Linked DNA regions of Schizosaccharomyces pombe. The protein of the gene in region 2 interacts with the protein of the main gene of each other region in a pairwise test. Each region holds a gene or a part of one and is shown on either strand. Other genes may lie near its edges.

The links.
Region 1: the proteins of saf2 (region 2) and dre4 interact in a two-hybrid assay, tested with the Schizosaccharomyces pombe proteins (one large-scale study listed by BioGRID).

The regions. Positions count from the first base shown.
Region 1 is NC_003424.3:421,659-429,901, reverse strand, and holds dre4 (splicing-associated factor Dre4), read right to left. Parts: upstream 3,925-8,243; 5' UTR 3,873-3,924; coding exon 3,833-3,872; exon of another isoform or gene 3,797-3,832; coding exon 3,580-3,796; exon of another isoform or gene 3,539-3,579; coding exon 2,560-3,538; 3' UTR 2,487-2,559; downstream 1-2,486. Other genes in the region: nuclear membrane protein Tht1, read right to left, coding at 584-1,249, 1,312-1,916, 1,959-2,319; pre9 (proteasome core particle subunit alpha 3), read left to right, coding at 4,679-5,425; RhoGEF Gef2, read right to left, coding at 5,999-6,545, 6,595-6,703, 6,749-6,976, 7,015-8,243. UniProt on the Schizosaccharomyces pombe protein: Component of the spliceosome involved in mRNA processing.
Region 2 is NC_003424.3:3,947,607-3,955,606, reverse strand, and holds saf2 (splicing-associated factor Saf2), read left to right. Parts: upstream 1-3,935; 5' UTR 3,936-4,091; coding exon 4,092-5,087; 3' UTR 5,088-5,211; downstream 5,212-8,000. Other genes in the region: P-TEFb-associated cyclin-dependent protein kinase Lsk1, read right to left, coding at 52-142, 189-1,136; qtr2 (queuine tRNA-ribosyltransferase accessory subunit Qtrtd1/Qtr2), read left to right, coding at 5,429-5,610, 5,686-6,550; plp1 (thioredoxin domain-containing protein), read left to right, coding at 6,661-6,872, 6,917-7,069, 7,114-7,200, 7,249-7,324, 7,366-7,677; ppx1 (exopolyphosphatase), read right to left, coding at 7,833-8,000.

The DNA.
Region 1 (8,243 bases), 3.5 Mb from region 2:
AACTACTGTTTTTGTCAACGTTACGTAACATATTATAATCGTTTGGATCACAAAAACCTTTAGTACCACTTCAATTAAGAAGAAAATTATTTGCCTTCGACTTTTTCGGTTATTTTCTTACTTAGTATAATAAGGTTTTTGCTAAGGTGATGACAGAGAGAACGATTTGCAAAAAGTTTGAATATAAGATATTTTTAGTAAGTTTAATCCATTTCAATTAGTTGAATAAATTGATGTTGAAGAAGGTGATGGAACAGGTGTTCAGATTTATGTATCGCATGATTGTTCATGAAAATGACTTAATGTCCTCTAAATATTGATAGTAATAGTTCACCACTTTAGGAAATAATGAACAAGGAGTTTTGTATTTCATAGGGATTAATCTTCAATTGTTTTAACTCAAACATAGTCATACACGTTGACATTTTTTATGCGCCTAAAATTTTCTACCATATCATACAGGTATCGGTAATTGCTCTAAGTCGAAATGCTCGTTCACATCACGCTTTGATGTCATGTGAATGAAAACGAGTAAAAAAGATTCTTAAGATGTAGAATTTATTAATTCGAATTAGAAAGATGACTAATCCCACCATGGAGATTGCTCCAAACTTTCACTATTCAGGAAAGCAAACCTAACATTTTCCTGTTTGCCCAGTTTTTCCTTATTATTTTCAGAGCCAAAGAGGTCGATTAACGAGTTTTCTATTGGGCATAGATAATTGTCTTCTTGAACTTGAATATGTTCATTATGATATATATTGCACTCCTCTGGTGCTGGAAGGAAAAGAGATAGCTCCGTATCTTTTTTGGAATTTCGGTATTTTAGATATCGCAGAAAATTTAATAAAGCACATAAAAATGCTGTCAGATAGAAAGTACGGATATTTAATTTAATAAACGAGAGAGTTCGCGCAATAGTGCAAGTGATCCATCCGTAAAGATTCACCCATGAGGTAATCTTAAAGCAGTAAATATGAATAAAGATTATTGATAAGGAGCCGAATACAATAATCGGTCGGCGATGTATTTTTAAAACTTTGAAAAATAAACTGCTTAAGGTAGCGAACAGCGTGAAGCCTATAAAAGCAAAACTGCTAATAATGTTGGACAATCCTTTAAAATATACATTCATAAACTTCTCAACAATGTCAATAAGAGGCCTTAACTGTTGAAGTACCTTAAGGTGATCTTTACTGACATTTAAGAAGTCTGACTTCCATTGAAGTATCTGTTCGTGTTGCAAATTCTATACAGTACTGTTAGACAAAGCAATAACGATGAATATAAAAACCATTAAGTAAAACTAACCTGTTGCTCAGAGGATAAACGTTTCAATGATTGAAGCTCCTCTTTCAATTGAATTGTAAGATCGTATAACGGTTGAAAACCTGAGTTAACAAAATCGATGTTGGATTGCACTGATTGCTGTAATGAATCCTCGGTTGTAGTAATTAAATTTTTTATCCTTTTTTCCATAAAAGCAGAGAACTCACTGGTATATTTGCCGATAGCGGAAAGAGCAATTGCATTTTCTGAGGTAAACTTTTCATTCAATTTTTCAATTAAACTATTGGAATAACCAGCACTTTCTTCAATAAAATTAGCGAAAAAGGAGTTTATATCAAATATTTCCGATTTTAGTTGTTTGATTGTACTTAGTATTTCTTTTTGTTGTACCATTCCTTCCTGTTGATGGTTTTGCAATTCGACTAAGCCCATAATTTCTTGGTTGACACGAAAGTTGATATCTTTGAAAGAATTTTCGATAACTGAATTAAATTTTCCATCAAACTTATCAATACGTTGATTCATTTTATCTGTCACGCTCTCAAAGTTTCGCAAATGCAAAATTACCATTTCCAAAAATTGCTTTTGCACAAGAGTTACATTCATATTCACCTCGATTGATAATTCTTGTTATATTGTTAGTTTGTTAGAGTTTATTTAAAGTTTACCTTTTTGCATTTCCAGATTTGCTAACCGGCATAAGTGATTTACATCATGAAAGTGACTAGTGAATGAAAGCCACCAGGTAGAAGTTGACTCCAACTTCGATACACATTCACTTTGCGAGCCACGAACGCATTCTGAAGGAGCCAAAATTTGAGACCGTTCAAAATCGCAAAGAGTCATTTGAATGGCTGAGTGAATTCGATTATCGATAGTCAACTCAGTATTCAATAAGCTACATTTGGAAATTAAAGTTGCAGCAACTTCCTGATAGCAAGTGGATTTTTTCAAGAGTGCTTGATATACGTGAGCTAAAGAATCAAAACCGGCTAACCCCTCGGAAAAGGCCACATTCGAATATTTCATAAATGATTCTACATCTCCGGTAGACTCACTAGTAAAGAAAAAAGAAATAATAATAAAAAACTCGAAATATAACCCAAAGGACGCGTCGGATGAAATTTCATAATTGTAGTAGATGGTAAACAAAGAAACTCACCCGTCGACAAACTACTTGCTTAAAAGAGTACGCGAAAAAAAATAATTTTTTTCCAAATAAATTAATAAATGAGAAATTCTCTAAGCACCTATTTAATAAAAAATTCATTAATTACTTGAACAAGCCAAGGAATCCAGTTCTTCACGCGTCAGTACGGCATATCGTGTGTCATTAAGTATGCTTTCTGTGAATTCGTCGGGGTTTTTAGGATCTACAGTTTTTGACTTGCATAGCTTTTTAAAATTTAACAGTTTGTCCTGCATAGGCTGTTTTCGTAGAATCTGAAACTCACGGAAAAGTTTCTCAAAATCACGTTCCGAATATCCTGGAATTTGAAGAGTCGACGACTTTCTATATTTACGTTTAAATTGAGGCCATAGCAAGGTAGATGGAAGTGAATGAAGCAAAGTCCAAAAATCCGATAAGGTATTTTTTCTACGCGTAATTTTTTTGGTAGAAACCACCGACTTGCAATATTCCTCAAACACCTCTTTTCGTCTCTCTCCCGAATCTAATACGTAAAAACGATCATCGTCTAATAACTTTGGATAAACTAGTTCCCACGGTTGGTATGCCCCGATGTTTTTGTCCTTCAAAAGTTCAGTAAATACTCTTCTAGCATCATCAGTAGATAAATTTGTAGCTTGTTCCTGTATATCATAGGAAACTGTTTCATCATCCAATTGTTGAAGTTGATACATAATATCTTCCTCACCAAACTCCAACTCTTCAGCGGAGTGTGATTTTTCCTCATCCTCTTCTTCATCAGATTTTTCATAAAATTCTTCAGAATATAAAACGGATTCCTCCGATGATTCTTCTAAACCAGAGGGCTCTTCAATCTCTGTTTGTAAATGCCTAGATTCATGTATTTCTTCGTGGTTGGTTTTACCACTATCAACGTTCTGACTCTGTGAGGAATCTTTACTGATTTGCTTCCGTATCGGAAGACGTAATATCTTCAAGTCTTTACTAATTTCCAAAGGAGGTTCCCAATATGATTCATGGCTTTTTAAATTGTGAAAGAAATACCGATTTTTCTTAGTAAAAACAACCACCCATGAATCATTATTAGGAATTCTTTTTCTAAAAAAAAAGTTAATAACAAAATTTTACGCCTCACATACTTGAATTTTGGTCTGTCCGGTAATTGTTTCCTCAAATCTCGAGAATTTTTGCGCTCTTCAGCATTTTCATTAACAAACAGCTTTTCGCTTGTGTTAAACGCCAAAGAAGCTTGCGAAGCAGTAACAGAAGATGAATGGTTTTTCTCAATGAAACTTGGGCGCTGGTAAGTGCTTTTTTTTAACTCGGCATTCCAGTAATAAGGAATCCCACTGGGTGCTATGAGTTAGCAAATAAACTGCTCATTAAATTTACCTTTATGTTCAGTCCATCCAGGAGGCAAAGGCTGTGACATTAAGATATGTACAATCAAGAAGTTAAGTTCGACACTATGTTAGGTAGTATTCAGTGGGCGTGTGTGTGAGAATAGATAGAACAGTTTTGCAAAATCCAGCTGAATAGTTATGTCAATTACAAAAAAATTTCTACAAACTATTAAAAAAAATCTGTATAAATTGCATAAATTCATAGGTGTAGTTAACATTATTGAATATACTACAAAAACCTCATAACAGCACCGCACGTAGCGTCTTCCCAAGTATTTCCTTTAGAACAAATAAGAAGTTAATGAAATGGTCTACCAAGTACAATATAATAAAACATTTTCGAGAACTTCAATTTTAATATTGTCAATTTACAACAACCCGCATAAATTTACGAGCAATTCATAACTCGTGGTAAATCGTTAAACGGCAGGCTGGAAGTATTTGTAAGCAGCTACATTTTTACACTAGTATTGACTCCTCTGGTTCAAATATTTTTACAAGCAGATTTTAATTATTAGCAACCTACACTGATAACTTTATATCTTGAGGATATGAAAGTACTAAAGGTAAATTGATTATCGTAAAAATAGCTCTCATTTATAAAGACATTTGTTGTACAGCATAGCTTGTAAAAATAAGCGGATTAACAACATACTAATTTAAATCATAATAGATTAATTGTATTAGAAGACAGGTAAAAGTCAGTCCTGTTATAGTAGTGTAGTAAGCACATAAAGAATAAAGCAAGTGTGGTAATCGCACTTCGGTAGACCTCATTAATGTTCGTGATCTAGTGCTTCGCGCATTTTCGAACTTGTCATCAACCAAATTCATTATGTCAAGAAGCTACGATTCTCGCACGACTATTTTTTCACCTGAAGGTCGTTTATACCAGGTTGAATATGCATTGGAAGCGATCAACCATGCTGGCGTTGCTTTAGGGATTGTAGCTAAAGATGGAATTGTTTTAGCTGCTGAAAAGAAGGTTACCAGCAAACTATTAGAACAAGAAGAATCCGCAGAAAAGTTATATCATATAGGAGACAATATGTTATGTGCTGTGGCAGGGCTTACCGCAGATGCAAACATCCTAATTAACTACGCTAGAAGGGTTGGGCAACAATACTTGCAGACTTTTAATGAAGAGATGCCTTGTGAGCAATTAGTTCGTCGCGTTTGTGACCTCAAACAAGGTTATACACAGTATGGTGGGCTACGTCCATTCGGTGTTTCATTCTTATATGCTGGATGGGATCATATTCGTGGATATCAGCTATTCCAATCTAATCCATCTGGAAATTACGGAAGCTGGCAAGCAAATAGTATCGGAGGAAATAGTACTAGTGTTCAAAGCTTAATGCGACAGGAGTATAAGGATGATATAAACTTAGATGAGGCTTCTGCTATGGCCGTGAAATTTTTGAGTAAAACGTTGGACAGTAACTCCCTAACTCATGAAAAAATTGAATTTGCAACAATAACAAAGGATACCACGAAAAACAAAATGGTTTGCAAAATATGGAAGTCAGATGAAATAAATGAAGTGCTCAATAAGTACCAAGAGACCCAGCGGCAATCTTAATATTGCCTTACTCAATTCATTGGGAAAACACTTTAAGTGTATAGCTGTTTTTTATAGCTTTCGTCGTTACCCTTTAATCTCCTTGTAATTAGCTCATGGTTTTTGTAAACAATTTGAAGCAAACTAAGTTCCATCATGAGCCTTATTCCGTCTCAATATAGGCTTGCTTTCTTTTTATCTACGCTAAATCATTATCTTATGAATTCTTATGCCGTTTTAAAAAAGGCTTTTTTCAAGTTTCTTTTATACTTAGACCTTTCTTTCTCATTCCCTTCATAACGTCAATTTCTACTTGAGTACACCATTCCGGCATATTTAAAATTATAGTATTTCCAATGGAATGTCAATGACTCTCATATGTTCTAAACTATATGCTTAGTTTTCATAACTGAAGATTTTAAACGGTGTAGCATATTCCAATTCTATACTATTTATAAAAATAAGAGAAAACTTTTTGATGAGTATTATTAACTTTCACTTACATATTGAAGGATAAAAAAAATAACTATTGATATCTAAAAAAGGAATAGTAAAACAAATAATCTAATAATCGATGTAGTATAGACTAGTTGGCTATATAAATATGTTGGTTTGACAACCTTCCTTAGCGTTTAGCTTGGATTCATACTCTTCAAGAGTCCACTTTGCGGTATCTAGTTCACATTGTTTTCTAATTAAACTGGCTTGAACTGATTGCTTTATAAGCTTAAGATCATGGTTGAAGCGATCATACAACAGAGGGATAGACTTTTTAGAATCTTCATTTAATCGAGTCATTTGAGCCAACCTTGCAAGAGTCAGATGATATTTGCGTCGTAAATCCTCGTATGCCTCTCGTTCTATTTGACCAGGTAAAATTTCCTTAGGGTGTCTTTCCGGCATTTCTTTCATGGCAATTGCTTGGAATTTCGATTCATCTAACTGTTTATCATTATTGGAATTCGCAGGGGAAACCGGAGTCGGCAATTCCTCTACTGTTCCAAAAATGCGATCACTGTGGTATGCAAGGTAATAAACAAGTTCTACAGCATTACTTCCAAACATGGAAGGAGCCAAGGCAATTGCTAGTTGTTTCGTAACAAAATCACATTGATCTTTAAGAGGAAGTCTCAAAAGCAAACTACGACGTTAGATAATAAAACCTCTGAAAAACAAGCTTGGTGACTTACTCGGAAGCAATAGAAAAAATGTTCTCAAGGATCTTTAGGCTACTCTCGGGTAAGTCTTGTAAGATTTTTTTCAAATGATAAACTGCATCAGTTGAATTGAAAGATAGATCTTCAATGTTAGTTAAAAAAAATCAAATTTGATAGCGATACATACTTAAATTTTCAACAGTATTTAACTGTTGTATGAATGAAGAAGAAAGCAAAACTCCAAATTTTCGATTGATAAAGGAGCTCAAATATTTTTGAAAGGTCGCATAAATAATATTTGGTGGGTAATGAGAGAGTAATTCTTCATTAAAAGTTTCCTTCAAAATATTATCGTACAGCTCATCCCCCTCAATCTTCTCCTTTTCAGACAGTGGATATAGTAAATTCTTTAAATCTGCTCAGTTAACGTTATGATCCAAATTGCAATATTACCTGTATGATATTTAAATCCGCCTTTGAAAGCTTCAAGATGTTCGACAGTTTTCTCAGCAGAAGCCTTCGAAGTATTATGAGTATTAAACTTCAATGATTTTTGTGAAATATTATTATGGTCCAAATTGTACATTTGCGAAGGAAGTGTAGCACAAGATTTTGATAAACCGCCTTGATTATAAAACCTGTTCAATGATAAACTGATTTTAGAAGGGCTTCCGGGCCTTCCTCCAAATGATAACCTACTTTTTCGTGGGCTGGAATTAGCAGAAAGCAAATGCTGTATAAGGTTTGAGTATAGATCCAAGCTTGAGAAATTTCTATTTGAAAAAGGGCATAGGAGAAGCCTTTTTATATTAATAAGATAATTAAGACAAGCCTCCCTAAGGTCTTCCTTAGCTATAACAGCTTCAGTAGGCAAACTGACACCTAACCAGGAATCGAAACTTAAATGAAAATCTTCGTCTTGTTGAAAAAAAGTAATGACAATATTACCGTCTTGCAAAAATTTATGCTTATCAACGTTGGCATCATTGGTGCATATGCATACTATGTCTGAGCGTTTTGATTCTTTCTCATACTCAAATCGTGAATAGTTATTAAAAAAAACCACAAAGTCATTGAGTTTTGAAAAACTAAGGCAGGAAGGCTGGCTTTTGTTCATTGAAAGTGCTTTTTGAAAAGACTGATAAAACCTATCCATAGTTCTTACATTTTCAAAATCGCAACGAAACTTCAAAATAGGATACTCATTAAAAAATGAAGGAGAAGATGCATACTTGGAAATTAAAAAAATAGTATTCTCCTCAACCATACTTCTTGTCAACTCAACCGCTTCATTCATATTTGAACCGATATATTGAGCACGCTTTTCTTTGGAATAAGAATTGCGAGGATTTTGCTTACGAAGATCCAATATAGTTGAGGCAATACTTGATTTGGAGCGTCTTTGAACAAGACAAATTCGATCATTGAATAAAATTAGAGTATAAGGTATTAAATGCAGTTGCCCGTTTTTTAGAAACTCCCTAGTCACGTCAATACAATCTATGAAATTTCGAGAGTTAGATATCATGTTTGGTGCTAAGTCAGGAATTATATGTTGTAAGCCAGCAAAAATCCTTGATCGTTCTTCGGCATCAACTGTAGGCATTTCTGCAATATTTTTTATAATCTCAACTGAGCGCACGTATGTATGTTGACATTCTCCTTCTTGTGTCAATAATATA
Region 2 (8,000 bases):
GTTAGAACTAGTTATAATTAAACGGTGAATGAGGACAGTATTTAATCGTACTTTTTTCCACCATAATTTCTAATAGCCGAACAATATTTTTGTGACGCAAACGCTGCAAGATTTTGACTTCACGGACAGTAGTTATAGGGAACTAGAAAGTTAGTCAATTTAGTTACGAGCTTGATTTTTATACTTACACCATCCTTTTCCTGCTCCAGCCTTATCCGTTTTAAAGCTACCAAATCTCCTGTGACTGTGTTAATGGCTTTGTATACTTTACCATAAGTTCCTTCTCCAATTTGGTCGATTTTCTCATAGGCAGGCTTTGGATATGTATATGTATAAATTGGGCCGGAAGGAGGAGAAGGAAGAGGAGCTGGAACAGACTCACGGGCCGTGGACGTGAGTGCCATACGTTTCGAAGGAGGTTGATCGAATCGAGATCGGCGTTCATTAGGTATATGAAAGTGAAATTTTCCATGTTTGTTCTCTGGAAAGCCAGAAGACACGCTAGATTTTTTTTGTGTATCGGAGGAAGTAGTTTCATGAGGGATAGAAGGAATAGGGGGAGGAGAAGATGAAGGTCTCCGCGATACCTTTCGACCGTTAAAAGCTGAAGGCTTCATATGTACAGAACTAGGCGGAGACCTTCGAAAAGAAGAAGCTTGCCTTTTTGAATCATTTCTGTTTGCGGACGGTGATATAGGTGAGACGGAGGCGCTAGAAGAGCTTTCAGAGCGTTTGGCAAAGTAATCCTTGGTAGTTAAATTACGTGCTCGTTTTTGACTACCTGAGCGGTAAAAGGAAGGTGATGGAGGTGAGCCAGGTCTAGGACTGAATGCCTTTTTACCCTTTCTCCTTCTAGATTTTCGAGAACGAAAAGGTCTTTCATGCTGTCTTGCTCGGGAAGAATGTGTATCGTTGAGAGGAAATGTTCTTTTCCGCTGTTCTCGAGGATCCTTCGCAGATGAGGATGGCGATATACTAGATGAATTATTTTTGAAAGCATTAGAGGACAGGGTGTGGCCTCCTAAAGACTCCTCATTTGTACCAGAAAGCTGAGACTTTTCTTCGACGGTACGCCGAAAGTGGCTATTTGGTTCTGTGCCTTGTCGGCGATAAATTGTACTCTTCGAGTATGACATTTAACAGGGTTAAAAAAAATAAAAAATAAAAAAAGGAATATTCCTAAACAATGAAGAGAATTACACGCAATCTGTGAGCGAAAATTCGATGGGAATAAAAGAAAAGAAATTAATCGTTAAAGTACGGCCAAATGTGTTTTTATGTAACAATAAATACAACTTCACCGGAAAAAAATCGTACAAGGGAAATAAAAGGTAAGCTGCCAAGACAAGCTAGTTAAATCCAGTGAAATAAATCATGCAATCTAATAAATGAAGAAAGGACAATTTTCAGAGTGGAGATTTTTTTCACCGCTAAACTATGAAGGGTGAACGTGAGACAAACCTTTTCAATCAATAGAGAAATCTAACCAGAGATTTGTGAATAAGTCGGTTGCAGAAATGTTATTGAAACGTAAATGTACAAAATATGAGTATCCACAAAATTAGGAAATACTTTTAAGTATCAACTCTTGCAGCTTAAAAAAATATACCGTAATTTTCTTTTAGTTGCACTCCTGATTTCTTTGATCTATCAATTCAAAATGTACATTGTTAAAAACACCAATTATCTCGAAATTTAATAAAGACAGAAATAAATTAGTTCTTCCTCTTCTATGACAATGAATGAAGTAGTTTGCAAGTCCACTAGTTTAATCAAGGGGCGATAGGTAAACTTCGTTGTTGGTGTGTAGTAGAAATAGAAATAAACGCGCGCGACTCAATTCCTTTACCACACCATACTTAAAATAATAAGTAATTTGAGGCTATGATGAATATCAGCTTGTTTTATAGAAATCAAAGTAAATAATGTATTTATTCAATGCTTAACTCTTAGCCATTTTCTCTTCCCCATTTGCTAAGATGGTCTTTTAACTATTAACTAAGTCCAACCAGTTATTCTCAATTCATATAATATTATTGGATTAAACCTTTTCATCTGAATTATATTAAGTTCATATTTAACATTTTAAAAAGCGATGAAGATAAATCTGGTAATCCGCATGGATCCTTGGAAATTGCCATTGGCGATAGTAAACCAAAGGAATCAAATGTCGACTAGATAAAGGCAAGTCTGAGCTTTTCTATTAGTTTTGAATCGTTTAAAATAATATTATTTATGAGAAATTAATATTCTACCATAAATTAGTGTTTTCCGTGAGTCTAAAGAATACAAAGTAAAATAATCAATAATATGCAACCCTTACATGTAAGGTAGGAGGGAATATATTATTTTACTGTATATAGAAGTTTTACATCCTTTCATAAGTATAACGTTATCACATTGGACGTTCTAGTAGAACGCCAGTCTTCAAAACATTAAAAATTCATATTCAGCCTCTCAAAATCTATTGTGTGCAAATTGTTTGCAAAGCTAAATTAATCAATAATATTTTTTTAAAAATTAAACAAAAATGCTTGGTTTTAGAAAGAACAAGGTTAGGTCAAGAGCTTCAAGATGAATAACTCATGGAATTCTGTTCCTGTTGTTTATTCAATTTTAAGAGTGATGATTTTGACATAAATTTGGTGCAATATTGTTTAAATAATAGTCTCATTAGTTAAACTAAATGTTTAAAAAAAAAAAAAATCATTGCAAAAAGCTAAATGAGCATAATTGATTTTTTATAAGTTTTTTTTTTCAAAAATGCAAACAAATAAATTAAATTTGTTTAATGAAATTAAAAAATAAAAAGGTAGATGATCGTACAAACGGCTACTACCAGTACGATATAATTTTTTATAAAAATTCCAAAACGTAAGCATAATTAATATGAAATAATAAAATATCATAGAAATTCAAGTGTACAAGGATCCTACGACCAAATGTTTGCTTTCATATGTATATATTCAATTCTAAATATTTATATAGCTTACTCAATTTGTGCAATTTTAACAAAGAAACGTGATTTTATTACAATAAATAGGTCATTAAAAAAATAAAAATTTGCACTTATATTCAATTGACTGACATACAAAACGTATTATCAGAGTTAGACTTAAATAAAATTTTCCTTATTCAACGGACATCCTATACTGGTTTCTGTGGATTTATGATATATTTGCATATGGTAAATTCAGCGAGAGAGTCCCTTGCACTCAATTATATTCACCAATAATACTTAATGAATCTTAATCGAAAAGACATGGACGTTGTGCTTTCAAATGCGAAAACCATATCTTCTTATTCAACATTTAATATGGGGTAAAAGTAGAGTACTTCTAATATCTTAAAGCAAAGCAAAAAAAATAAGCTCTTTTATTATGTTATATTTTCGTTAATAAAAATCGCTTCTTCAAACATTTATTCATCACAGGTGCGATATAAGAATCTGAGTTTGTACTCTATAGCAGCTCTTTTAGCTTTCAGTATTTAATTTATTCAAATGCTATATGCATAATTCCTTCATAGTTTGGCTATGTCTTATCGTTTCGTTTAGTATATTTACAATTCCATTTTATATGTGTTAAAGTAATTATCGAAGAAAGAAGACTATGTAGGGAGAAAGTTTATAAACTGTTAATAAATCGAATTGGTGTCAACTATTATTTAGTCTAACATCGGTAATCCACAGCAATAGCTTCAACGATATCCTTAGGCTTGAAAAAACAAAACTTTTATATAGGAGTTAAATTCACCAAATTATATTTAATTTTTTGGCCATCAATGAACAGGCCAAGTGCATTTTAATTAATGTTATATTGAATCGCACTGTGGAGCCTTAATCCATTTAAAGTAGATATAGTTAGAACTCGTGGTATTTCGCAAAGATACGTTATTCAGAAATATTAATTTTTGTTGTTAACTTGCGCCAGAGCAGCAACATATAGTGTTGCTTGTAATTACTTTAATTCAGCCATTTAGATTACATTCCAGTACTTATTTTTTGTGCTGTAAATCCCATTTATTTGTTATGTGCAATTGAATGTCCCCGGTATTTTGTATAATAATTATTTCTTCATACTGATAAAAAAATGTCGTCTTCTAAAGATTGCAAAGCTACTAGCAATGTCGATCAAACAATTCCTGCATCAAACGTGAACAGTGGTGACTTTATTTCATCGAATACGAGCAGTTCTAATAGCGAAAACTCCAATATTCAAGGAAAACATTATACCCAAGTTGGAGAGGATGCCGATAATTCATTTATTTCTGAAAATACTCCTAAAAACACTTTTGAATCAACTCAAACATATGAAAATCTGGAGAGTATTTCTAAAAATGAACCAACCTCTGAAGCATCAAAGCCCTTGTTAAATGAGTTAGTTCCTGAGGAACCATTGCCAAGGGAGCCGCCTTTACCAAATGAACCAGTTCCTGAGGAACCATTACCAGGGGAACCACCTTTACCAGATGAACCAGTTCCTGAGGAACCATTACCAGGGGAGCCACCTTTACCAAATGAACCAGTTCCTGAAACAAATTGCCATAAAGAATCTCCTTTATCTGACGAAACAGTTTCCGAAACATCAAAAAATGATACTTCTAACTCCCCTACAAATGAAAACCAAGCACAGCCTTCCATTGCTTGGTCCGAGGGTCATCGGATAGCCGCTATTTGGGACCCTTCTCAACAGGCTTACTATTTTTGGGACACTTTAACAAATACGACGAGCTGGAATAATCCGTTAGAAGATGAAGAGCAGACTAGTCCCCTAGATTACACAGCGAAAGTTCAGTTCAATCGCCTATCTGGAAAGTTTATGCCAAAATGGGCTTCACCAGAGTTGCGAAGTGAAGAAAACAAAGCACATAAGCATATGGAACAGTACTTTGACATCAATTCTTCATTGAATAGTCACAATGGCCAAAGTTTACTGGCAGAACGGAGAAACAAGCGATATACCAGGAAAGAGATGGAGCAAATGAAACGAAGAACAAAAGAGAAAAAAGAAATGAAACGAAGAGCGTTATATGACATCGCTTCAGATGAAAAGGACTTCCGCCGTCGCAAAATTATCCGTTATTAATGTTTTTATTCCATTGTTTCTTTCTTGTTTGCATGTTTTATTATTACTTTAAAACTTTAAAAAAAGTCTAAACAATTTACTATAATTTATGTAATGATATTTTTTTTTTTACTTAACTAAAAACTTTCAGTTTTGTAAGACTACTGATATCCAAACAAAGCTATTTTACAACATTATAAATCGAATGTTTAGACGACCTTTTGTGTTTGAATATCTTTCAAATTTAAAAAACATTCATATAGCAATATTCGTTTAATGTGCTACAGTGAACCATCGTTATTTTGATATCGTACATGTGTAAATAGAGCAAAACTTTTGCAGCTTTATTTTGCGATTTATTGATGGCAATTTCTTCATTATCTAGTCCTTCAGGGGCTCGCGTATCTTCAGTTACGGTGAAGAACAAGGTTCTGAAGACTCCTTGCTTTTTCCTTCCTACTTCCAGAGGAACTGTTCCTCATTTGACACCTGACAATGTTGAAGAATTCGATATTCCTGCTCTCTATGTAGGGTTGGAGGATTGGTAAGGTTTAAATTTAGGACTCAAATGCTTTATCATATCTTTTTTAATTTGAATTTCTAACTAATATGTTTGTAGCTTGGATCGTCTGGAAGCCTCACCAATCTTGACTAATGAGGGAACTATCAAAAAATGGATCGCAGCACCCTCTGTCCAACCTACTTTACTTGCTCCAAGAAGAACATCTCCTTTGCCATCTGTTTCTGCAGGACAAAGTCATATTAATATCGTTACTGCAAGTGGTGCAAAGAAACTGACAAATGACTTGTATATTAAAGCTGTCCTAAAGCTTTGTCCTGAATTAGTAATTCCTTTAAATGATACCCCAACTAGTCCTCCTGGTGTCAAAAGGAAGCCAAAAATTGTGGAACGGTCTGTCAATTGGACAACTGAGTTGCTTTTAGCACTCAAAGCGACGGACGCTTTCAATACTACTAAAGTATTTTTCCCTGTTCCTGATCTGGACACTCAGTACCTTACGCCTATTTTCCAGTTTTTTCAAGAAAATCAACTTGCTAACAACATTGCTGGCTTGGCATTTTCTAACAATGTCAATCCATTACCAGCTGATTTGGTTGGTCTCCCAAGACTGAGTATTCAAAAATTTGAATCACCACTCGAAATTCTGAAATGCATTCAAAGAGGAATTGACATTATTGTTCCAGATATGATAACACAAGCTACTGATGCTGGTGTTGCACTTACATTCTCTTTCCCGCCTCCTTCTAAAGATGTGTTGAATTCTAAAATTGAACTTGGCTTGGATATGTGGGACGAAAGGTTTGCTACTGACATGGAACCATTGCAATCCGGCTGCGTTTGCAAAACATGTCGTAGATACAAACGCGCTTATGTTAGGCATCTGTTACAGGCTAGAGAGCTAGTTGCTTGGATACTTTTACAGCTGTATGTTTATATTAAAGAGCATGGTAAAGAAAGCTAACGATTTGTAGACACAATGTTTATGCCTTCACTGCCTTTTTTCAAGGAATCCGCGCCTCCATACAAGAGGGAAACTTTGATGAAGATGTTAGAAAATTTGAAGAAATTTATATGACATCTTTTCCAGCATCCCATGGATTTGGGCCGCGTAAACGTGGTTATCAAATGGATTTGACAAACGTTCAGCCTGTAGAAAACAAGCCTGCTTGGATTTCTATGAAATCTCCTTTGGAAAAGGAAATCGCCAACGAGTATGAAGCTTTGAAGGTTACTGAAAGAAAGGAGGATACTCAGGATTACAATGAACCAGAACTGCATAATAGGTAGGTTACAGTAGCGTACATATTATGTCTAATGTTGACATTAGTAACGACCCAACAGTTGATCTTTACGCTGATACGTATGCTACTCAAGCTGCAACCGAAAGTGATTCAGAATTGGAAGATGCGCTCTTTTCACAGTTGGATGAATTTGATGATACTGCTTATCGAGAACAGAGATTGGAGATGCTAAAAAAAGAGTAAGAAAAAGCTTTAAAATGATTTTAAGAATTTAACCGTTCAGATTCGCTAGAGTGGAAGCTGCAAAAGAAAAAGGACACATGCAGTTTCTTACTGTAGAAAATGAGCGCGAAGTTATGGATTTTACGCTGTATGTCAAAACATTAGCTTCGATTATTTTAAACTAATTATTTTTTAGTTCATCAAAAAAAGTTGTTATACATTTTTACCACCCTGATTTTATACGTTGCAAAATTATAGACTCTCATCTAGAGGTACGAGGAGTTCCATTTATTGCTTACGCTAACATTCTCAGAAAATTGCCAAAGTACATTGGGAAACTAAGTTTATCCGTATTGAAGCAGCCAACGCTCCATTTTTGGTAGTCAAATTGGGTCTCAAAGTATTACCAGCCGTACTTTGCTACGTAAATTCTCAGCTCGTGGATAAGATTATCGGATTTGCTGATTTAGGTAATAAAGATGATTTTGAAACTTCACTCCTAGAATTTCGGTTGCTCAAGAGTTCAGCAATCGACCGATTAAAAGAAGAGAGTTCTTCAAACAAGTCTATTTACCACGATGAACTACAAAATAATCAATCAGATGACAGTGATTTTTTTGAATAAAAGGATCTTGGGATTACAAAGTAAGAAATTTAGATCAATGTGATGTATAATATATATCCTTTTAAAAAAATTTAAAATCTATCATAAGCCTACTGATGAGTGTAGCTATCGTAAAATGTACAGAACAGAAATCACAATGGAGTCTAAAGCAGTAACTATTTTGAAGCGACTTGTTTAACTGAGTCCATAAGTAAGGGAACTACTTTCTTTCTGCTAGCAGCGGAATTTCTTTGATTCCACATACTGAGGTCGCCATTATCTTTCTCTTCAATAATTTCTAATCCTAAATTTTGTTTGCTAAGTTTTAAGAAAGAATCGGCAAG